3 linked regions of the Arabidopsis thaliana genome follow. The protein of the gene in region 1 interacts with the protein of each later gene in a pairwise test. Each region holds a gene or a part of one and is shown in the gene's direction. Other genes may lie near its edges.

What was found.
Region 2: the proteins of NF-YA7 (region 1) and IAA9 interact in binary tests that used the Arabidopsis thaliana proteins (3 or more experiments, as listed by UniProt).
Region 3: the proteins of NF-YA7 (region 1) and NF-YC1 interact in a two-hybrid assay, tested with the Arabidopsis thaliana proteins (one study listed by BioGRID).

What each region holds. Positions count from the first base shown.
Region 1 is NC_003070.9:10,800,655-10,808,134, reverse strand, and holds NF-YA7 (nuclear factor Y, subunit A7), read left to right. Parts: upstream 1-1,706; 5' UTR 1,707-1,895; intron 1,896-2,207; 5' UTR 2,208-2,238; coding exon 2,239-2,266; intron 2,267-2,435; coding exon 2,436-2,566; intron 2,567-2,827; coding exon 2,828-2,902; intron 2,903-2,981; coding exon 2,982-3,146; intron 3,147-3,225; coding exon 3,226-3,399; 3' UTR 3,400-3,685; downstream 3,686-7,480. Other genes in the region: RFNR2 (root FNR 2), read left to right, coding at 1-76, 174-393, 486-985; PHV (Homeobox-leucine zipper family protein / lipid-binding START domain-containing protein), read left to right, coding at 7,391-7,480. UniProt on the Arabidopsis thaliana protein: Stimulates the transcription of various genes by recognizing and binding to a CCAAT motif in promoters.
Region 2 is NC_003076.8:26,249,668-26,258,303, forward strand, and holds IAA9 (indole-3-acetic acid inducible 9), read left to right. Parts: upstream 1-3,740; 5' UTR 3,741-4,224; intron 4,225-4,279; exon of another isoform or gene 4,280-4,468; intron 4,469-4,756; 5' UTR 4,757-4,795; coding exon 4,796-5,337; intron 5,338-5,432; coding exon 5,433-5,659; intron 5,660-5,771; coding exon 5,772-5,913; intron 5,914-6,066; coding exon 6,067-6,128; intron 6,129-6,423; coding exon 6,424-6,467; 3' UTR 6,468-6,877; downstream 6,878-8,636. UniProt on the Arabidopsis thaliana protein: Aux/IAA proteins are short-lived transcriptional factors that function as repressors of early auxin response genes at low auxin concentrations.
Region 3 is NC_003074.8:18,006,834-18,013,784, reverse strand, and holds NF-YC1 (nuclear factor Y, subunit C1), read left to right. Parts: upstream 1-3,766; 5' UTR 3,767-3,846; coding exon 3,847-4,547; intron 4,548-4,888; coding exon 4,889-4,892; 3' UTR 4,893-5,192; downstream 5,193-6,951. Other genes in the region: NPC6 (non-specific phospholipase C6), read left to right, coding at 1-415, 593-1,095, 1,663-2,132; AT3G48600 (SWIB complex BAF60b domain-containing protein), read left to right, coding at 2,422-2,640, 2,769-3,098, 3,480-3,617; XTH11 (xyloglucan endotransglucosylase/hydrolase 11), read right to left, coding at 5,444-5,795, 5,879-6,069, 6,171-6,271, 6,358-6,547. UniProt on the Arabidopsis thaliana protein: Stimulates the transcription of various genes by recognizing and binding to a CCAAT motif in promoters.

The sequences.
Region 1 (7,480 bases):
AACTTGTCATATCGTCATCGATCATGATGGTAACCTTCCTTACTGGGAAGGACAGAGTTACGGTGTGATTCCTCCAGTAAGTCATGTCCCTCGTGCTGTTACGTTGTCTTCAAATTGTTACCACCATTCTTAATCTCTTAAATCTATTAATGAACTGGAACTTTTGCGTGTAGGGTGAGAACCCGAAGAAACCGGGAGCGCCACACAATGTGCGCCTTTACTCAATTGCATCAACAAGGTACGGAGATTTCTTTGACGGTAAAACAGCGAGTTTGTGTGTACGTAGAGCTGTTTATTACGACCCTGAGACTGGAAAAGAAGATCCTTCAAAGAACGGAGTCTGCAGCAACTTCCTATGTGATTCAAAGCCCGGTGACAAGATTCAAATCACCGGTATGTAAACTAATTACCCAACCAACTGATCTCATACTTAAAGACCCCTTGGACTAAGTTTTCTTTTAACTCAATATACATTTCAAAACCAGGTCCATCTGGGAAGGTAATGCTATTACCCGAGAGTGATCCAAACGCGACACACATAATGATAGCCACGGGAACAGGAGTGGCTCCATACAGAGGCTACTTACGTCGAATGTTCATGGAAAACGTCCCAAACAAGACATTTAGCGGCTTAGCTTGGCTCTTCTTAGGCGTGGCCAACACCGATAGCCTTCTCTATGACGAAGAGTTTACCAAGTACCTAAAAGACCATCCAGACAACTTTAGGTTCGACAAGGCATTGAGCAGAGAGGAGAAGAACAAGAAAGGTGGAAAGATGTACGTGCAGGACAAGATTGAAGAATATAGTGATGAGATCTTCAAGCTTTTGGACAATGGAGCTCATATTTACTTCTGTGGGCTTAAAGGAATGATGCCTGGGATTCAAGATACACTTAAGAGAGTTGCAGAAGAGAGAGGTGAGAGCTGGGACTTGAAGCTTTCTCAGCTCAGGAAGAACAAGCAGTGGCACGTTGAAGTCTATTGAGCTCTTTATTTGTATTTGCTGTTTTTGATTTTTGATTTAAGAATCGTAATAAATTTGAATTTGGTGTTTTTCTACTTTTCAAACATGATATGATGATAATATCTGAAATTTGTTGGTTTTGAGAAGAGAATATTCTCAGAGAATAATCAATATATCATTTATGTAGTGACATGAGCCATCAAGAAAACGACGAAAAGGTATATACTATTAAAGTTGAGAATAATCTTATCTTACATGTGCTGCCATAAACCCAACCAAAGGTTATAGAATATTGCATAAAATATTCGAATCGCCTAACGTCATTTTAATGAAAATTTTAGAGAGTTTATAAATCAATAAATCATAATAATCATCGGTTTACCAAAACATAAGTATTTTGAATTTTCGGCTTTTGTTCGGTTATGTAGCTGAACAATTCGAATTAGTGTCATAGATTCATACCGAACCGAGATTACTCTCTTGTCTGATGTCTCTAGAATTCAAACAAATACGAACCGGTTTCGCTATCGATGACTCACACAACAGAAAATACCAATAAGAATCGGGCAACGGGTAGAGGTTAGGTCCCCGTGGACTTAATCAGTAGTGTAAGCGAGCTGCTTCGGTCAGCAAATTTTAGATCTGCCCGTAATCTGCTACGTGCAATCTAAAACGCTTCTCTAATTCTCCACTTGTACGATCGATATTGCGTCCGCATCAATTGTTACAAACTCTGCCGTTTCTTTACTTGCTGAAGACTGAAAACGTCATGACGTTTTATGCTAGTTGAGAAGGACGCTCTGAAGTTTGGGGATATTAAAAGTGCGGAATAACTTGAGGAAGGGAAGAAAACGACACTCTCTCGCTCTCTCTCTGTTCTTCATTTTCAAGAAGAGGCTCTCTAATCGTCGTCAGAGAAAATTGCAGAGAGGTAAATTTTATATATTGGTTTTGAAATTCTTAGCCTTTGATTTGTTTTTTGTTAGAATTTTGCTTTGCTGTTTTAGGATTTAGTAGGACTGTGAGAATTATAGGTTTAATTATGGTTTATCATCTTTTGTTGTTATTTATGAAAGTTGTGGATGTTCTGATTTGGTTCTGTGATTATTCTAAGTAGCTTGACTTGTTTAGTTTAAATATGAGGTTAATGATTTTGTGGGGATTTGATAGTTCTGGTTCTTGAGTTTATTTAAAATAGGTTTACCAGGATCATGTACTGACTCTGTTCTTTGGAACTTTTCAGAATTCTGCTTCGGACATTAAGCTCATGAGTCATGACTTCTTCAATCCATGAGCTTTCTGGTTTTGCTCTCTCTCTTCCTTATTCATTTTATGCTTATATTTTATTTCAAGTTGATTCTGCTTTCAGAAGATAGATTTTTACCTAAGCTTGTTTTATAGTTCATTTGGTTTGCTGTTAATGATTCTTTTGGTGGTGCTCTCTTGTTAAGTTTGGTGTGTTCTTGTCCAGATAACATTGGAAGTCATGAGAAGCAAGAACAGAGAGATTCTCATTTCCAACCACCAATCCCTTCTGCAAGAAATTATGAATCAATTGTTACAAGTTTAGTCTACTCAGACCCGGGGACTACAAATTCCATGGTAAAAATGGAAATGTTTGATCACACCTCTCTTGATTATTGCTAATGAGTTTCGTCCAAATCTTTGATTGCCTTGCCTTTGAAGCTAGCTAATTTGTATTTTTTTGCTCTTCATATGTAGCACCTTCTAGTTGATAATTTCTAGGTTTAACTACTTCTTGGCACCATGACTAATACAATATCACCTTTCTGCATTTTCAGACGATATACAAGTAACAAAATTTTGTTCATGTTTTATGTATGTGTATTCTTATAATTAAAGGCACCTGGACAATATCCATATCCAGATCCTTACTACAGAAGCATATTTGCACCGCCTCCACAACCGTATACCGGGGTATGGTGTATTACTTAGTCCACCCTACGACGATTGTTCTTATCTGGATAAGTTGGATTTATGTTACAAATCATTTCAGGTACATCTACAGTTGATGGGAGTGCAGCAACAAGGCGTTCCTTTACCATCTGATGCAGTCGAGGAACCTGTTTTTGTTAACGCAAAGCAATACCACGGTATACTAAGGCGCAGACAATCAAGAGCAAGACTTGAGTCTCAGAATAAAGTCATCAAGTCACGTAAGGTAAGAAAACTTTTCTTAAATCGTTTATTGGTTATGATATCTTACTTCATTTGTGTAAATCTTGAGAGTGTATTTGTAGCCGTATTTGCATGAATCTCGGCATTTGCATGCGATAAGACGACCAAGAGGATGTGGCGGGCGGTTTCTAAATGCCAAGAAGGAGGATGAGCATCACGAAGACAGTAGTCATGAAGAAAAATCCAACCTTAGCGCTGGTAAATCCGCCATGGCTGCTTCTAGTGGTACATCTTGAGAAGGTCCTACAAGTAGCTTTGTTGTATTTTGGCTCTGTTTGGTCTCAGATCATCTATGTCTTTTAGTGTATGATATATACAAATCTTTGTATAAAGGTATAGATAGGTTCTTGGGAAGCAATTAGGTAAACGTGAAGTGGGTTTTAGACTTGTGATTATTAAATAAAACCCACCGAGGAAAAAGGGAAATAAATAATGTCCATGATGTTTAGTTAAATACAATGCTACTGATATTGTTTTGTTATAAGAAATTTTGGTAATAAAACGAAGAATGGAAGAATCCACAAACAATGACACCAAGGTTGTGGTCTATGTGCAAGAACGGGTGGATGGTCGATATGTATTTCCTCCTCATAGAAGATTAGGTACTATATCTCTCACAGTCTCACTCCAGAACAAGAATCCTTTCTGACTTTCAAGAGGAATATAGAGCCCTATCAACGTTAGTATGGTTATCGTGTCTTGGTTGATGTTGAATACATCAAATGAGATATTGAAGCCATACTTGACTTCGATATTCAAACCTTTGCACCAAGGATCATTTCATATCTACAAGGATTCTATCCACATAATTTCATCTATGATAATGTTATGCAAGTACAATACAACCTCTAAAAAATAATAGTCAATAACTTAATAACCTATATAAATTAATAAATTCTTCGTAATCAAAATTTTGTAATTTCTTGGAATTTCACCCATTTGTAAATTAATTTTATCTCTCATTTTAGACCCAAAAAAAAAAAATCTATTGTGCCACTTGTAAATCAATAATCCAATTAGCTTGTTTTCTTATTATTTGTAGGATCGAGTTGAGGTATCAGACCAAACCTTCTGACGAAACCAGAGACGTTTGAGGAGCGAAGTACATCCACATGTGTTGCTTCTGCCTCCATTTTGTATTTATCGTTGGAAATCTATTTGGAGGGCAGAATTTTTTTGGATTTAGTTTACTCGGTTTTCTACGAAATAGCTCTCCTATTTACAGACAATTGTGCAGAGAAATATTACTTGAATGTGCAACATGATCCTCATAATTAAGAGCTTCTACTTGTATGGTATTTCGATGAGAATCTCTCCATTGTTCTCTACTTCAAATATCAAATTAGCTATCTAGGTAAAAAGTGCCGTTAGATCGAAATCCTTCATAGTAGGTGATGATCAATCTTGTATTTTGCGTATATATATACTTCACATAAGAAATAAATATATTAATTTATATATTTATTTCTGTCCAAAAATCATAGAAAGTTATAAGAAAACCAAAAAAGAATAGAAAAGAAACAATGTTTGGACAAATGGATACAAACCAATTGAAAAATCGTAACCAACCAAAAATACAGGTTGTACCCCCAGCAAAGGCAGACCTGTCTTTGTTTTCTCATAATTTATAGGGAATTTAATAAAAAAAACCCTCAACTTTGGCCAGATCCATTTTTAAACCCTGAACTATATTTTTAGTAAAACAAACCCTGAACTAAAACCTGTTAATAAACTTAACCCCACAGTAATTAAATATTAATGGGATATTAATTTCCAAAAATCGACCAAAGAACAATGACAGAATCCGTGATCCAACTGAAGATCGTCCACCTCAAAAAGTTCTTTATACACGTGAAAAAGTTCAAATGGTAAAATAGAAAACAATGAATTATGTTTCACAAGATCTTCCTTTTCAAATTATTTAATTTAATCTTTGCATATTTAGACTTGTAGCAACTATCAACAAGTCGGACACAACAAACGTTCATGCAAGCGTAAAGCAGTGCCAAAACCACCCAAGAAACCTCAAAGACGACCAAGGAAAAAACAGAAAACAATGGATGAAGAGAACCCTATCACTCAGCCAATACAATCTTCTCTTCAAAGTTAATGCTTGACAAGTCTTTACTTTAGAATATCTTGTCCCTCTGAAACGATTGTTTTTTTTGTGACAAATATTGTTGTGTTGCAACAGCTTCGATAGTTATGTTGGTTGGATTTATTTAAGTATGACTCTTTGGATTATTTTAAGTTGTTGTGTCTTTCTTTCAGCTTCTAAAATCCAAACTAATTAAGCAATTCAAAATCATTTAGAACGTTTTTTTGTAATAAATTCAAAATAGTTTTAAAGAACATCATGTGGTTTTTGCGCTAAATACAAATGTCTCGTTGTTTTTTTTTTTAGAAATTAATATCCCATTAATAATTAATTACTGTGGAGTTAAGTTTATTAACAGGTTTTAGTTCAGGGTTTGTTTTACTAAAAACATAGTTTAGGGTTTAAAATGGATCTGGCCAAAGTTAAGGGTTTTTTTCATTAAATTCCCTAATTTATATTCAAAACTTTCAAAACAAGTTAAAGGAAATAAAACCAATTAAGGTTAACCAAAAAAAACAACAGATTTCACGCATCTCACGCGCATAGTGACATTGTACATACTTGTCATGCATCGTCTCTTCCACATGGATACAAAAGATAGGCATACAACAACACCATCATCATGAAAATATGTACATGCACATACATACATACATACAACGTCTTAGGACTAGAGAGCAAAGAGGGTAGGGAAAATTTGATGCTATGTTTGGGTAGGCCACTGTCACAGAGCTTAAAGAGAAGTGCTTTCTTTCCCTAAGTTAGCAAATTACCCCATTTTGTCAAAATTCCGTTTCTTCTGACAACAACACTTACGTTTTACGAATATAAATAGTTGTAGCATGATTTATTTTTGTTACCAATAGATAAACATATTTATTCTTATCGATTGCCATTAGGACTAGGGATTCTGATAATAATTGATATGTCTTAAAATTTGCAGAGACAACAACTTTGCGTGTTGGTTTTCTCATCTGTTTGTGTTTAGCCTTAGTCTGAAATCTGAATGCATTTAAGTTTTTCAAAACTAATCACTTTCAATCCTTTTTAATTGTCAACATCTACTTGTCCTTTTAATCTAATCCAAGAATATTGAATACAGAAACATGTTTACACAAAGAAAATTAGGTGGTAATGATATGAATTAGAGAAGTGTAATCAAGATTCCATCTCATATTAAACCTATTTAAAAGAGTTGTAAGAAAAAATAATAAAACAAGTAATTATTTACTTATAACTATGCATCAAATATTACGAAACTTTTAAAATGAATTGTTAATCTAATTCAATCAATATTATAATTATCTATTTAACTAATAATATTTATATGGTGGCAACCAAAGAATATATATGGGTCCAACTGGTAATTTAGATGAATTGTAAAATTTTTCGGAATAGTTGCAAACTATAAAAAAGAGTTGTACGAGAAAGTTGTATAATAAAATTGAGAATAAAACTTTTTATAACGTTTTTGATAAAGATTTTATAAATGATAACTGTCAAAGTTGTACAAACTCTACCGCTTTGATAATGAGTTATCAAAGACATAAACTTTTATCCTAGTTAATCATTTTAACTTTTAGAATTTAAGCTTTGAATTAAAATTCAAGCTTAGCTTTGTATAAGAAAAAGTTTAAATATTTTTACTTTGCCTTAACAGTAAAAAGCTTTTAACCAAAAACATTGAATTCAACCTACTCTCCCAAAAATTTCACCTTTAATTTTTTTTGAAAACAATATTTACCAGTTTAGTGCATCTTGTTGGGTTGTTCCTTGTCCTTTCTCTCTCAGAAAGATCTTTACTTTTACTTTTTCAGTATTTTCCTCTCTCTTCTCTCTCTTCTCTCTCTTCTCTCTACTTAGCTGCCTCGCTTTTGCTCCTTTTACCTCTTTCCATCTTTCAATCTCCTTTGAGAGAGAGAGCAAATGAAAAAAACCCAAAAAACTCTTTTCTCCAACCATTACCATCTCATGAACACTCTCACAGGAGGCTCTCTCTTCTCAGAGAGCCTACCCATCTAATATTTCTTCATCTGAGTCTCTTTTACTTCTCTCAAAGTATCGATCTTTATTCTTCTTTTTGTAAACCCTCTCTCTCTCTCTGATTTCTACTGACCTGTTTGGAAGATATGATGGCTCATCACTCCATGGACGATAGAGACTCTCCTGATAAAGGATTTGATTCCGGCAAGTACGTTAGATACACGCCGGAACAAGTT
Region 2 (8,636 bases), on another chromosome or scaffold:
GTTATCTTTGTGCTAATCCAATCTTCTATTCTAGGATGACACATGTTTAGGTTCACTAACAAAAAAAACACATGTTGAGGTAGATTATGACATAAGTTGGGCGGCCTTATTCAAAATGGTGCTTTACGAGTTAATTGTGTTAATGCTTGATCAGATTATTCCTCTATGTACACAGATATTGGTTTTAACTCCATCCGTCCATCTTGAAAACAGCGTTTTTGGATAATAATGAATAATCGATCTCTATAATGTATATTATTAGATTCATGTATATCTTGTACTTGTTCCTTTGGAATCTACATGTCTCTTTATATGTTTAAATGTTGTAAACGTTCCAGTTTGTTCAATAAAGAATAGATTTCTCTGCAATAAGAGCATGGTTAGTTTATTACACATTCACACCATGTAATGCTCTAGTTCCTCTTCGAAATTTGACACAAGATAACAATTATCTTTGAGATTTATAAGTTTCTTAGTAAGATTAGATACGATCTTTCATATGCAAACATCTATAAACACTGTTATTGACGAAAACTAAAATAAAGTAAGCACAATTATTTTCAGTTTTTCTTTTTAAATTGTGCTTACTTTCATATACTGTACAATTGAGTTTATAGAAAATTGGTTTCAAATTTCTAAAATGAAATACAAGGAATTTCTATTAGGAAGTAGACTTGCTATTTTAACTTGTAATCACAATAAAAATATCTATATCTATGTGTGTGCGAAGTGTGAACTGTGAATGGGTCTTGAATTTGTCACCGCCGTTTCTTTTAGGGTCAATGAGTATATCCACTAAACCCATCTTACACTTTTTTATATCACTTTTTTTTTTCTATCAATAACAAAAAATTCTATAAAACGTGTTTTAACCATTATAATTGTAAACCCTAAACCCCACGATCCTACACTTTTTATATCACAACTTGTGTGTTTGCTTAAAACGTTGTTAATAACCATTATAATATATATCTAACATAATAACATTAAACTTTTTAATTAGTCCAAAAAATGAACTTACAAATTATTATCTACTAATAACGATTTCAATGAGGTATGCAGCATGTTGTTGGGTTTGTTTTGAGAGTGACGCAAATCTGTCTTTTCTCCAATCTAATCAAAGATACATAGCGATTCGGTGACATCAATTCTAGAACCAAAAAGATTTGATTAAACAGAGAAATTGACTTAATATGCATTTATAATATAAGCTCTTATGTTGTAGAAAAATCCAAACCTGTTCCACAAGCAAAAACTAAGCTGTATGGGACCATGTTGATATAGACTAAGACCCTAAGCGATATGTACAAATACAGGTGTTATACATAGAAAGAAAAAGAAACCGTTTTTTTCTTTTTCTTATATCTAATTCATATACAGCTAGATATACATGTAATTTAAAATGTTATCTTTATGTAGTAATTTATTGCGAGGGATGAAATATCTGACGGAGGTTTTATGTGAAAACTCGAAGGTGTATTTGATTTTCGGTCAAATATATTTTAATGGCTCTCTCGTATATTGATGATCACGGCTCGGTACATTGTCCTATTACGAACTCGATAAAATTAATTATATTATTTTGTTGTGCAAATCCGATTTAGTAGCTCGTCGTTTGACCCTATATTGAGACATATAAAACATATAACAATTTGCAATAAATAATTAGTTGTTTTTGTGTATTTCTAGTTAAAAAAAAATTGAAAAAATTGTGATACAAAGAATTATAAAAACGTTGACAGCAACATGACTGACTAAACGAAGAAATATCTTACGTACATTACATTTTTTTTGGGGTCAACACGTAGATTATAAATTCAACAAATCCTTAATACGAGAGAGGTAAGTATATTATGGCCCATCAAGAAGGATAGTGGCTTATGGGCCTATGTTATAATATGAAATAAAAGCCCAATTATAAATGAATTTTTATATACTAGAGTGCAAAGTCTGGGCCCAAAGTAAACAGTCTAACGTGTCTTGTCGTTTGATTTCCTCCACTCTAATTATAAATTAATTAATTACGGGGAAAAAGATTAATTAACTTTAGTGAATCCATCATCAATCAAAGACTAATAAAATAAGCGTGAAGGACAAAAGCACTACGGGTCTCATTGTCTTGTCTCAACCCGCATTATTTGTACTCGCAAATGCTGCTAATCTGATCTACTGTTTACTTTTGCATTTTTGTAATAATTTATCTGTATTACTATTATTGTTTTTTACCAATCACTTTTTAATTAGACACATATTTTCATGTACTCATAATTTTAAATATAATGTCTGATGGTAGTTGTAGTAATTTGAAATAATTAATATCCTTTACTTATTATACAGACGATTAAACAAAATATGAGAAAGAGAAAATCAAAACTTTTTACGGGGAAGGTTAAGAAATGCCGTATTATTATTCTGGACGGTGAATATTTTTCTTTTACTTTCCTCTTTGTGCATAAGGTGTTAAAGACTTTTTTTTTTGATTAATCGTCTTTAAATCTTTGGTAAAAGGAAAGAAAAAAGGTTAAAAAGAATAGAGAGGGGTAAAAAAGAGATAACGTGAGTGGTACGGAAGAGTGATGATGAAAAAAAAAGAGTCAGAGAAGGTCATGATGATGATGAACGGACACAGGCCTCTCTTACTCTCTTACCATCAAATCCTACGGTCAGATTGAGATATTTTGTGCTTCCCATGCGTGTTCTTCAATCCCATTTCACCCCTTTTGTTATTATTATGCTCCCCTTTCCCCAATTCCCATTACCTTCCTTTTTTAATTACTTTGAATTTTTTACAGTAATTTTTTTTATGTATATTACACCCGACTATAATTTTTTTCTTTTTTTCTTTTTAACACGAAAAGAATGTAACCGACTATAAAAATTAACATACATAATTTACCTGTTTATTACCAACGAATTTACTTTTTTACTTTTTAACCAATCATCCTTATTACTATGGATTAAACGTTGTGTATGATGATCGTAACAGTGCAATTCAGACATATTTAATACTCCAGAAATATGTATGTTGTTCACATTCAAATTTTGTACTTCTAACAATAACACCACAAATTATACTTTCAAAAAATGAGATTTTTTTTTTAAACTCAATTCGGACAAACTTGTATGTATCTAATTTTTGTCATGACTATAATTTTGTTTCAATCAGTTTACTTATTTAAGTGCAAATTCAACAAAAATAAAAAACAAAAATCTAGCACGTGACGTAACCTTATGAAAAAGATTAATCTATAGTCATTATTAAAGTTACTTATACTATTTACCCATTCATCTATCTAGAAGACTACAATGAATGCCAAACCAAAAAAAAAAAGCAAAATGAAAAATTCAAGTTTGGGGGGACTAACATTTCTCAATGGGCCCCATCCAGTTGGGCCAATCTAAGTAAAAAAAATTGAAAGATAAGGAAACGTAATAATGAAAGTTAAAGAAATTAGGAAGGTGGCGGAATTTAATTAAATTTAATCCGAAAGAAAGAAAGTGATTATAAAAAAAGATTAACAAGTCTTAATTAATTTTAGATTAATAAAGTAGAGATAGAGAGAGAAAGGAAGAAAGTGGAAGAGGTTAGATGTCCCATTCACCACCCGGCAAACCGACTTGGAATGCCGCTTTCTTGTCCCCTCCTCACTCCTCTTTTTCTCTCTTTACCATTTTACCCTTCATTCCTCAATCACATTATCATCACATAGAGGTTACATTAGTCATTAAAAACAAAAGGATAGAATCGGAATTTAATATTTGCAGACAACCATCCCCTTTCGGGTGGAGCCAGAAAAGTGGCATAATTTTGTTTAAAGATCCGACTCCCGACATTTGTACATCAACGGTTCATATCTGCTGATTTAAATCCGACGGTTTAGAATTATCAGCACGATCAAATCTGAGCCGTTGGATTAGAATCCATTCGTAAATAAAAATACGCAACTTTTTCCACTTATTTTCTATTCTACCACTTTGTTTAGTTATTTTAATTTTAATCTCGGCTACGAGTTTCTGGGTAATGATAATTAAGCTTTTTTCTGCTTTAATGGAAGGACCTTGACACTTCTCTCTCTCTTTCTCTTTGCTATTCATCTTCTACAGTTTCTTAAAAATTATACTCTTCTTCTCCAAAATATCTCAGACTCTCTTATTTTTGATCGTCTTCTTCTTCTTCGTTGTGAGCTTCCATTTTTCATCCAGGATTTGTTTTTTCCGTTTGAGGTAATTATGTCTTCTCTGTTCTTCTTATACATAGTTTCAAATCCGGTAATTTTTAGCTTGTTGTTGTTTGTGTGTGTAGTTAGTAGTTATTAGATCTATTAGCTATTGAGTTTCTTTGCTGATTTCCTCACTATTTCTATGGCGAATTTTGGTTTGTTTGAGCTGTTGGCTTAAACCTTGCTAGGTTTAGTGATTTGTAGATAGAATTCTGTGGAAATTCAAATCTGAGATCAGCTCGAAAAATGTAACTCAACGGTGTAGTTTCTTCATCTGACCTTAAGTTGACTTCTATTTATTTTTAGCTTTCCATTTTTTTCTCAGATTGAGCTTTATTTTGCTCTAAATTTTGGTTGTGAGTTTTTCATAGATGCAATCTACTTTTGAAACCCTAATTGATACGGTTTCGAGTTTCTTCGAATTTTGATTGAAATTGAGTTCTTGATTTTTTCTGGTAATTTAGGGTTTTGTTTGAGGATTTGTTTATGGTTATGTGAATTTAATGTGGAGGACTTTGTGCTGTGTAAATCATCAGGTAAAGCAGCTTTGCAGTTAAAGAAACCTTGAGTATCCAATGTCCCCGGAAGAGGAGCTACAGAGCAATGTATCGGTGGCTAGTTCTTCACCTACTAGCAATTGCATCTCCAGGAACACTCTAGGAGGACTTAAAGAGCATAACTACTTGGGTCTCTCTGATTGTTCTTCTGTTGGAAGCTCTACTCTCTCTCCCCTTGCTGAAGATGACAAAGCTACTATCAGCCTCAAGGCTACGGAGCTGACACTTGGTCTTCCTGGATCACAATCTCCTGCGAGAGACACAGAGCTTAACCTTTTGAGCCCAGCAAAGCTAGATGAGAAGCCATTCTTTCCTTTGCTTCCTTCTAAAGATGAGATATGCTCCTCCTCGCAAAAGAACAATGCATCGGGAAACAAAAGAGGCTTTTCTGACACAATGGATCAGTTTGCTGAAGCTAAAAGTTCAGTGTATACTGAGAAAAACTGGATGTTCCCTGAAGCAGCAGCCACCCAGTCTGTAACAAAGAAAGATGTGCCACAAAACATACCCAAAGGACAGTCTAGCACTACAAACAATAGCTCTAGTCCACCTGCAGCCAAGTATGAATAGAAGATAGGAGCATTCGTTCGATTTTGATATGGATTACTTTCAACAGCTAGCTAACTGGTGTTTTTTCGGATTCTGGAATTTTCAGGGCACAAATTGTCGGTTGGCCTCCAGTGAGATCCTACAGGAAGAACACATTGGCCACTACTTGTAAGAACAGTGACGAAGTTGATGGGAGGCCAGGTTCTGGGGCTCTCTTCGTGAAGGTCAGTATGGATGGTGCTCCTTATCTGAGGAAAGTTGACCTGAGGAGCTACACTAACTACGGGGAGCTTTCTTCAGCCTTGGAGAAAATGTTCACCACTTTCACTCTTGGTGAGATGTTTCAGTGATTGCTAGTGATGTGTTTGAAAACCTCTTTCTATTTAAGGATCAATGAATGAGTGCAGTCAAAGTAGTTAACCTGCACTGTTTATTTGATGTTTAGGTCAATGTGGATCTAATGGAGCTGCTGGGAAGGATATGCTTAGTGAGACCAAGCTCAAGGATCTTTTGAATGGAAAAGACTATGTGCTCACTTATGAGGATAAGGATGGTGACTGGATGCTTGTTGGAGATGTTCCGTGGGAGTAAGTTTCCTCTCTTATATTCAAAACTTGTTAGAAGCTTTCTCTACTCTCTGCCAGATATCTTAGAATCAAATCTAACATGCCATAGAAGATTATATCATGGTGATTGGTATAAGCGCTCATGAGTGATTTCTGATCCGATGTATATTACAGGATGTTTATTGATGTCTGCAAGAAGCTGAAGATAATGAAAGGGTGTGATGCTATTGGGTTAGGTAAAGTCTATTCTTCTCTCTGCTCCTAAGCTACAACGTAAACTACTATCTCTACTAAAACCGATTACAAGTAGTGTGTATGATGAGATTAGTGGTTTGTTGGTGTGAGTTACTTGTAGCTGATTTAGAAATTTCAATTCATGTTTGATCACTCGTCTTCTTTTGGGAGTAAATACAACAAATTAACATGTAAATAAAATCGAAATTAAACTGATTTCAATTCATGTTTGATCACTCGTCTTCTCTGATTCAAAATGTCTTAATGATTCAATGTGGTGAACTGGTGATATTGCAGCTGCAGCTCCGAGAGCAATGGAGAAATCGAAGATGAGAGCTTAAAAGATGGAACATGACAAAGCTTTCTAACTATACAAAATATGTGCGATCTTTTGGTGGTGTTTTTAAATTTCAAAACATCAATATCTTTAGTTTCTGAATTTTTAAAATGAAGTAAGTAAGACTACGAATGTAAGGAAATGAAGAAGAATTAAAAATGATCTATTTTTGTTGTTTGTTTGTTGCTTTAGTCAGTAAACTGGTCGTTGTTTTATGTTTTGTGTTTGATTTGGATGTGTGGTTGACTTCTACCTTTGAGATATTATTTGATGTAACGTTTTTGTTATTCTCTTCTTTGCTTCTTCTCGAGAAGAGAAGATAGACAATCCGGTTTTACGATTTGGCTTTCTATCATTGAACATGGAGGTTCTTCTTCTGCATTTGCAAAACAATCTTAAATATTAATCAGTACTTAAATCTTTGAGGTGGATTGTTAAATTCTAACACATTTGAATGCGGAAGTGGTAAACCTACGTTTTTCTCAATGTCTATGACTCTATTCTAAATGGAATATCAAGATTAATCAGAAAGAAAAAAAAATCTTTTTATAACTGTCATAACTAAACTGTGCTACCAAATCATTGCCACCAACGGATCTTTAAACCAACTTGAATAATTCACCTGAAGAACCAAAAGCTACAAGACAAATCAAAGATAAATAAAAGTAATTTCGCCGGGAAAAGGTTTTGATATCATTATTTCACTTTTTAACCTTCCATGAAACTTTGTTTACCTTAGCAAGCATGGGCTGCGTACAAACTCATGATAACTATATAGTACAATCCCCAAACGAAGATATCATAAATTTCAACGAATCAGTTTTAGATTTAGTGAATAACTATAGTTTAATAGTATCGAATAATATCGTTTGAGAGAAAAATAGTCAAAGATACATGAACATAAATTCCCATATACTAATTTCCCATTTCTCATTCAAGGAACGTTTATTATTTTTCTGTTCCTGAAGGTGGAAGCATAGTGCGCCTCTTTGGGTTTGGCAATGGTGGTTTGCTTATTTGTTTTATGAAAATTATTTTTGTGATATCATTTATTGTTCATTTTTAATAATTCCGTTAGCGTTGACAAAACAATATGATTAAACCCCACCTAAAATGAAATGTTATATTCAACTGTCCAATTTTTCAAAGAGGCGTTAATTAATCAATTCCAAGGCATATATTCGATCAAGATAATTAAAGACTCATATAGTACTCTCATAGTTTAAGAGAACCTACGGGTCGAATTTAAATCACTCTTGTTACTTTAAAACTTTAATCCAAATAATGTAGTATATATCTGTGATTCTTGTAGCTAGCTTCACGTGAACTTAATAGTATACACATAAACAACAATCATTGGTCGTGAATCTCATTTAATTCGTTTCGCTTTGATGCACTTATTCGAATGGGACATACTATATACATCCATATAAGTTGATAAACTATATAGTAATATTCAATGTTTTTAAAATTAAATATATGAAATAGACTTAGGGAATGACATGTCGAATTTGTCTCCAAAAGATATGAATTGAATTATGCTTCTCAGTAATGGAACGTGGCAATACCTTTATCACTCATCTATATATGGTTGTTCCCCAAAATTATTTCTTCATCAAACGAGAAAAATAAGATTGTAAATGTAAATGATTTGATCATCTCAATGTTGCATTCAAGAATAGTATCTATAATATTTAGTTATAAGCATTAGGTATTAGGTCAATTATATTCAACTGAGTCTACGAATCGAATTGCATATTGCGTAAAAATTCAAATAAAAGAAGCTAGATAAATGAATATACGTACGATTACGAGAATGAATGTGTGTTTCTTCGATTTGGTAGACCTTCAACAAACCCACCGAATTGATGGTATCCATAGATTTCTTATCAGTTATCAGTCATGGGAGAGATTTACGATCTCATATATATGGACAAAATATATCGTATCAGCATTATTATTGATTTATTGTTTAGTTAAGTTCTTTTTTTTTTGGTTTTTCCTTTTTTTCTTTGAAAGGTTTGATTAGCAGTTTTGTCCGGACAGACCAAGTATATATATACAATAATTGTGATTGTGTTAGGACATTCAAAATCTTCCATACAGTTTTCGAATTAAGTTGGTATACAAGTTTTTCAAATGTTAAATCAAATCCAACTAAACTAGATTTGTT
Region 3 (6,951 bases), on another chromosome or scaffold:
TGAAGAACTCAGTAAACCCGACAATAAACGGTGTAACGGGTCAAGAATGTAACCCGGTTCCGAATTCTACACAAACTATATGTTTCACTAGTGATGCTGAGTTTGTGGATCCGGATCCGGGTCATTCGTTTGAAGCTGTTGAGCAACAAGTATTCGGGTCTGGGCCGGGTCAGATCCCGTCCATGATGGGTTTCGTTGAGCAAGCGCTTTCCATGCCGGGAAATTTGTCGGAGACTGTAATGAAAGGCTTTAGGCCTGAAGCTGTTCCGGTTTATGCTGAGCTGGTTAAGGAATTCGCTGTGTTCGACCGGTGGTTTTCTTCAATTCCCGGTCCGACTCAACCAAACCGGTTATTTGTCTATTCGGCTACCTCACATGGTTCCACTAGCCATGTCAAGAAACAACTCGCTCAAGGGTAACATTATCAAATTCTTTCTTTAAATTATTATTTTCATTAGTCCTTGTTAATTTTCATTAGTTTAATTTCACACTTGATTACTGAATTTTTAAGATTAGTTTCCATAGAAAATATTGAGATAATATAAACTATTATAAAATTTTGCATAGTTATGTATTCATCATTTAATTTCAGGTATCCACAGAAGACGATATTTGATTCGCTTCATAGCAACGACATCGACTTCGGAATATACTTTCAGAATATTCCGACCACATTATTCTACCGTAATCTCCGACAGCTAAAGTACATTTTCAATTTGCATCAATACGATTTGAAATTCAAGAAAGACGCGGCCAAAGGAAAGTTACCGAGCTTAACCGTAATCGAACCGAGGTATTTCGATCTCAAAGGTTTACCGGCTAACGATGATCACCCGTCGCATGACGTGGCTAACGGTCAAAAGCTGGTTAAAGAAGTGTACGAGGCACTTAGGTCGAGTCCACAGTGGAACGAGACGCTCCTAGTTATAACCTATGATGAGCATGGTGGGTTCTATGATCACGTCAAGACTCCTTATGTCGGTATACCAAATCCCGATGGGAATACTGGACCGGCTCCTGGTTTCTTTAAATTCGACCGGTTAGGTGTTCGTGTTCCTACCATTATGGTTTCGCCTTGGATTCAAAAAGGAACCGGTTAGTTCTCTTTTTCTCTATTATAATTTTACAAATTTGTTCTTAGTGTGCATTGCTTTTTAGTAGAATCCTCAAGCTTTTTTCCAAATTAACAAGAACACTCCGCTTTTGAACTTGATATATAAATAGTTTTGAAACTACTGACCAAAAAACTTATATGTAGTATTTATGCCTATTTAACGTACTATTTTTTTCACTTATGAATTATTAATATTGAAACTATTCATTTCTTTAACCCAAAAAAAGAAATTCATTTGTATTTCATGTATTTCCACTTTCTACTACTATTTCCGACAGATTTTTGACATTTGCTAACAAAATTTAAGGCTGCAAAAACCAAATCACATGGATGGCATTTGACAACTATAAGATTGTATTCATTAATAATGGTGGAGAAAATAATTGAATCCATTGATTATGCCATTGAAAGATGGAGTATATTATAATTTGTCGGCGTCGTTGCGTGACTCATGTTTTTCAACCATCCTTTGACCCCATTTGATTTTAATATTTTTTTACTATATATAGTTTAATAACATCTTATTTTATTATATGTTTTGAATGAAGTCGTAAGTGAAGCAAAAGGACCAACAGAGAGCTCAGAGTACGAGCATTCATCAATACCAGCGACAATCAAGAAACTCTTCAATCTCTCTTCCAATTTCTTAACACATAGAGATGCATGGGCTGCTACTTTCGAAGACGTTGTATCTCACTTAACCACTCCTCGAACCGATTGTCCCATGACTCTACCTGAAGTTGCACCTATGAGAGCCACTGAGCCTAAAGAAGACGCTGCTCTTTCTGAGTTTCAAGGTGAAGTGGTTCAGCTTGCAGCGGTTCTCAATGGTGATCACTTCCTCAGTAGCTTCCCGGAAGAAATTGGAAAGAAGATGACTGTGAAACAAGCTCATGAGTATGTCAAAGGAGCTACTTCTCGGTTCATTAGAGCTAGTAAAGAGGCAATGAAGCTTGGTGCCGATAAATCTGCTATTGTCGATATGCGATCTTCGCTCACTACACGGCCACACAACTGATTAAAAATCTTGTTTGCATTCGTCTTCCTATGTTTTGATCTGAAAATGTGTGATTTTATGTATGGAAACTAGAATTGAGGAACAAAGAAATAGACAAAATTCATTGTTAATGTTAGTGATATGTTGAGCAATCGAAAGATCTTCATAAACTCCCAATATAACTGAAGCCCAATTAGGCCCATATATAAATATTCAACAAGGCCCAAAATGAGTTGCATCAATTTCTTTAGTTGGAGACTTTTCTTCAATTGTTTATTGTTAGGGGCAGTGGAGTGAAGGAGAAACAACAATGTCGCCAATTTCTAAGATTCTAGGAGGATGCAGGACACTGATGGCGAAGGCGGTGACTAATGCGACGGCTACCGGCGCCGGCGTTGATAGAAGAGGAGGAATTCATAAGATTTTTCCAGTCTCAGAGTCGCTGGCTAGATTCGTCGGCCAAAGCGAAGTCTCTTTTTCCACCGCCATGGAGAAAGTGGAGCAGTATACCGATGATCACAATCTTTGGGTTAGGGATTTCGAAACTCTTCTCCAGTTTCCTTTCATTCTACTTTTTTTTTTGGTGATTTCTAGGTCTTTTGATCTGATTCTTTCTGTTGGAGCAATGTATCTGATTTATAGGTCTTTGATTTGTAGAATCCGGAGAATATAGAGGAGATACTGTGCGATGATAACTTGAAGACGATTTTCGATGGCCAAGACAAAGTCGTCGGAGTCAGAGAGATGACGGAGCTTTTGTTGCGACATTTTCCTAACGTTAGAACTATGTCGGCGAAGGTGAAGGCTACCGGTGGAGGTACTATAGAAAAATGGGGGTTCAATGATATTGTGAAAGTCTCAGAGCCGCTGGCTAGATTCGTCGGCCAAAGCGAAATCTCTTTTGACGCCGCCTTGAGAAAATTGCTAGATTATGCCTTTGATCACAAGCTCGTAGATGAGGGTGTTACTCTGCTCGAGTTTCCTTGGGTTAGCTTTTTTACTTTCCTTATGATCTCCTCTTTACATGTTTATGCATTTAGGGATTGGAGTCTCTAGAGACTGGAGAATGGTAGTGATTTGATTCTTGTGTTGGTCATTATTGGAGTAATTGACATCTACGCTGAAAATGTTGTTTACTCACTTGAATGTTTTGGTTTTGTTTGTGGAAATGGTCTTTTCTGATTGCATATTTTGAAAACTTAGCTTGTCAATTCATACACTGTCAGATGAAGAATTCACCAGTTACGAATATAGAGTGTCTTTAGGTGGCTTTGGACCTTGTGCTTGCTTCTCTGTTTGGTGGTCATAGATTGCATTTTCATGTTTAGAGATTATGATTTGTTTAGAGCTCACTTGTTTCATTTGTAGATTACGAAGTGTAGTAAATGGCGGATACGATGCGATGATACCTTGAAGACGATACTCGATGGCAAAGACAAAGTCGGAAATAAAGAGCTCTCTTCACTCTTGATGCAACATTTTCCTGACAGCTCTCTTCACTCTTGATGTTTTCTTTTGGTTCATTTCGGATGCATATGAACTTTGGTACGTGTAAAAAAAAAACAAAATTTAACTTGAAATAGAAAATAGAAAAAAATTAATTTAGGAAATAGAAAAAAAAGAGAGAAAATCATCAGCTACATCGCTGTCCACCTTATCCACTTGTACCCCAATCCCTTTGGCAAAAACTTGTCACGACCTTTTTGATCCAAAAATCAAAATCCAAAACCGACCAATGGATACCAACAACCAGCAACCACCTCCCTCCGCCGCCGGAATCCCTCCTCCACCACCTGGAACCACCATCTCCGCCGCAGGAGGAGGAGCTTCTTACCACCACCTTCTCCAACAACAACAACAACAGCTCCAACTATTCTGGACCTACCAACGCCAAGAGATCGAACAAGTTAACGATTTCAAAAACCATCAGCTTCCACTAGCTAGGATAAAAAAGATCATGAAAGCCGATGAAGATGTTCGTATGATCTCCGCAGAAGCACCGATTCTCTTCGCGAAAGCTTGTGAGCTTTTCATTCTCGAGCTCACGATCAGATCTTGGCTTCACGCTGAGGAGAATAAACGTCGTACGCTTCAGAAAAACGATATCGCTGCTGCGATTACTAGGACTGATATCTTCGATTTCCTTGTTGATATTGTTCCTAGAGATGAGATTAAGGACGAAGCCGCAGTCCTCGGTGGTGGAATGGTGGTGGCTCCTACCGCGAGCGGCGTGCCTTACTATTATCCGCCGATGGGACAACCAGCTGGTCCTGGAGGGATGATGATTGGGAGACCAGCTATGGATCCGAATGGTGTTTATGTCCAGCCTCCGTCTCAGGCGTGGCAGAGTGTTTGGCAGACTTCGACGGGGACGGGAGATGATGTCTCTTATGGTAGTGGTGGAAGTTCCGGTCAAGGGAATCTCGACGGCCAAGGGTAAAGTTTCATTTTCTGTGCAATGTGATATACATTGATTGATTACATGATCGTCTAGGGTTTTAGGAGATGGAATGATAAACAATCTCTAAGTCTGGTTTGTTTGGGATATAATCATGTTAGTCCAAGATTTCTCTGTTTATTAAGGTTTTAGGATTTGGAATGATAAACAATCTCTAATCCTGTAATCATCAAGATTTGAAAATTGTTTTCATATCGCAATTTGCAAACATTGCTATATCAAACAACTAGATTCTCTTGCTCTTCTGCTGAATCTGAATGAATCAATGAACTATGGCTCCTTAAACTTACCTTTCAATGTTTTGGTATCATTTTTGCAGTTAAGCTCAGAGTATTCCAGATGATGCTTGACCTGCTTGAAGATAGCAGATATTAGTCGACCTCGCCTTGAATTTTGGATGTGTTTGATAGATTATGCCTAAATTCAATGAAAAGGCTTCGTTAAAGAAGAGTAAAAAAAACTCTTGTTTCTCTCTGTTAACGTATATGTTATTGTAGCAAAACCATCATTGCTGCGACTTAGCCTAACTATATATAATCTAATGTGCAGTTTCTATTGTATGCTTCTTTCCGATTTTTTCTCATATTTGACTTATCTTGATGTCTGAGAAAATGCAGTCTTGTAACCTGTAAGGTTCTTTTCAGAGGTTTCAGTGCTTGTAAACCTCAAGCAAACCCGATCTGAACCAACTTGGTTCTGTGTAAATAGGTATCTGTATATGAACTCGTGACATAGTAATGTATCTAGCATTGATGACAATAATGTTGTTATTTGATAGAAAAGGCTTATCATAAAGCATCTTACAGTAACATAAGTTATTTTTTCAAGATAATTGTTTTGTAGGCTTAACCCTGTGACAGGTATTGATCTTTCTCTAAGTGTAACTTCCACATTCTTGAGGCACCTTTGGATATCGCTGTCTGTCAGAACAATAGTCATAATCCAGGTACGTCTTCCTTGCGTTTAGGTACAGTGTCTTCTCTTTAGAGCTTAGCTGTTTGCGATTCCACCAGAACTTAGGATCAGTGCATTTATCTATTCCCATGAACTCAGTCTTACACCCTTCAATCTTTGATGCCTGGAACTTAGCAATGTAAGGCATCTGCTTCGGGTCAATTATCGATCCGTTTTGCACACTTCCCATTAGGAACATTGTCTGCACCGATGGGTAGTAAACATCTGGATTCTTGCTGTACACCCTGATCGGTGTATCGTCAACATAAAACCTGAAAATGTGGAAATACATTTTCTTTTTGTTACTGATGTTAATCAATGGATGATCTGATAAAAAGTGTTATATGATACTCACACAAGTTGATTAGGGTTCCAAAGAAAACTGTAGGAATGGTAATCTTTTGTTGGATCAAACCAGAGACGAAACCTCTGATCTTTGCCTCCTTCACCGTACAGATACATATTCGTATTCAGCAAATACGGTGGCCCATTCTTTCCCAAGATCTGGAAACAGAGCTCATCATGGCGGCTTGAACGGGAGATTAACTGCCGTATAGCAGAAAAACAGATTTCAAAAAGCTATTCAGGTACGTAATCTCATCATCTTTATTTTTAGACAAACTTAAGTTTACTGGTCATTCACGTACATAGAAGGAAGTAATGACTCCCGTAGACGTAGTTTGAGGTGCCTTGATTCTTACGTTGAAGTATCCTGATCCGTAAATCAATTGGGATTCAAACCCGGACCCTGTAAGGAACATAGACCAATCACAATCATCGACTAGACACAAACACACAGACACATGTAGACAGAGAGAAAGAGAGATAGAAAACCAGAGTTTTTATCGAGGGTGAGCTGGAGCTCAGAGGTTTTATTAATAACCAAAGCTTGATGTCCCCATGTCTGGTAGTAATTGTTACCCCATGTCACGAATCCAGTAGTCTCTTCTTGGCCTTGAGCCGCAGCTACAACTGCTACAACCACCATAACCATCAGTAGAATCTTCTGATCAGATCCTCTCATCTTGATCTCTCTATCTCTATCTCTCGTTGCTTCTCCCTCACTTTACTTAATCACATTAGAACACGACTCTCTTGGGCTATGTTATATAGGCTTAGAGCAGCCACGTACGTTACGTTGTATTTTTTCACCAAATAGTCTATATTCACTGCATCATCCTAAAATCCTATTCAATTAATTAAAAAGTTTTGAGTTTAATCCATCTAAATTTTGAGATTAAGTTTGTTTTTAGTGTAGTGAAAGCTGTTTCCAACTCGTTTCAACGCATCAAATATTGCAGCTCAAAAAGCTTTACTATTTTTCACGATTTCAATACTTTTGTTTGTTAGCTTACAAAGTTTTCCATACAAAGTAAACTCTAAAAAGGGGAAGTATAAAGTCATTAGGTTTAGATGTTCCAAACTTTT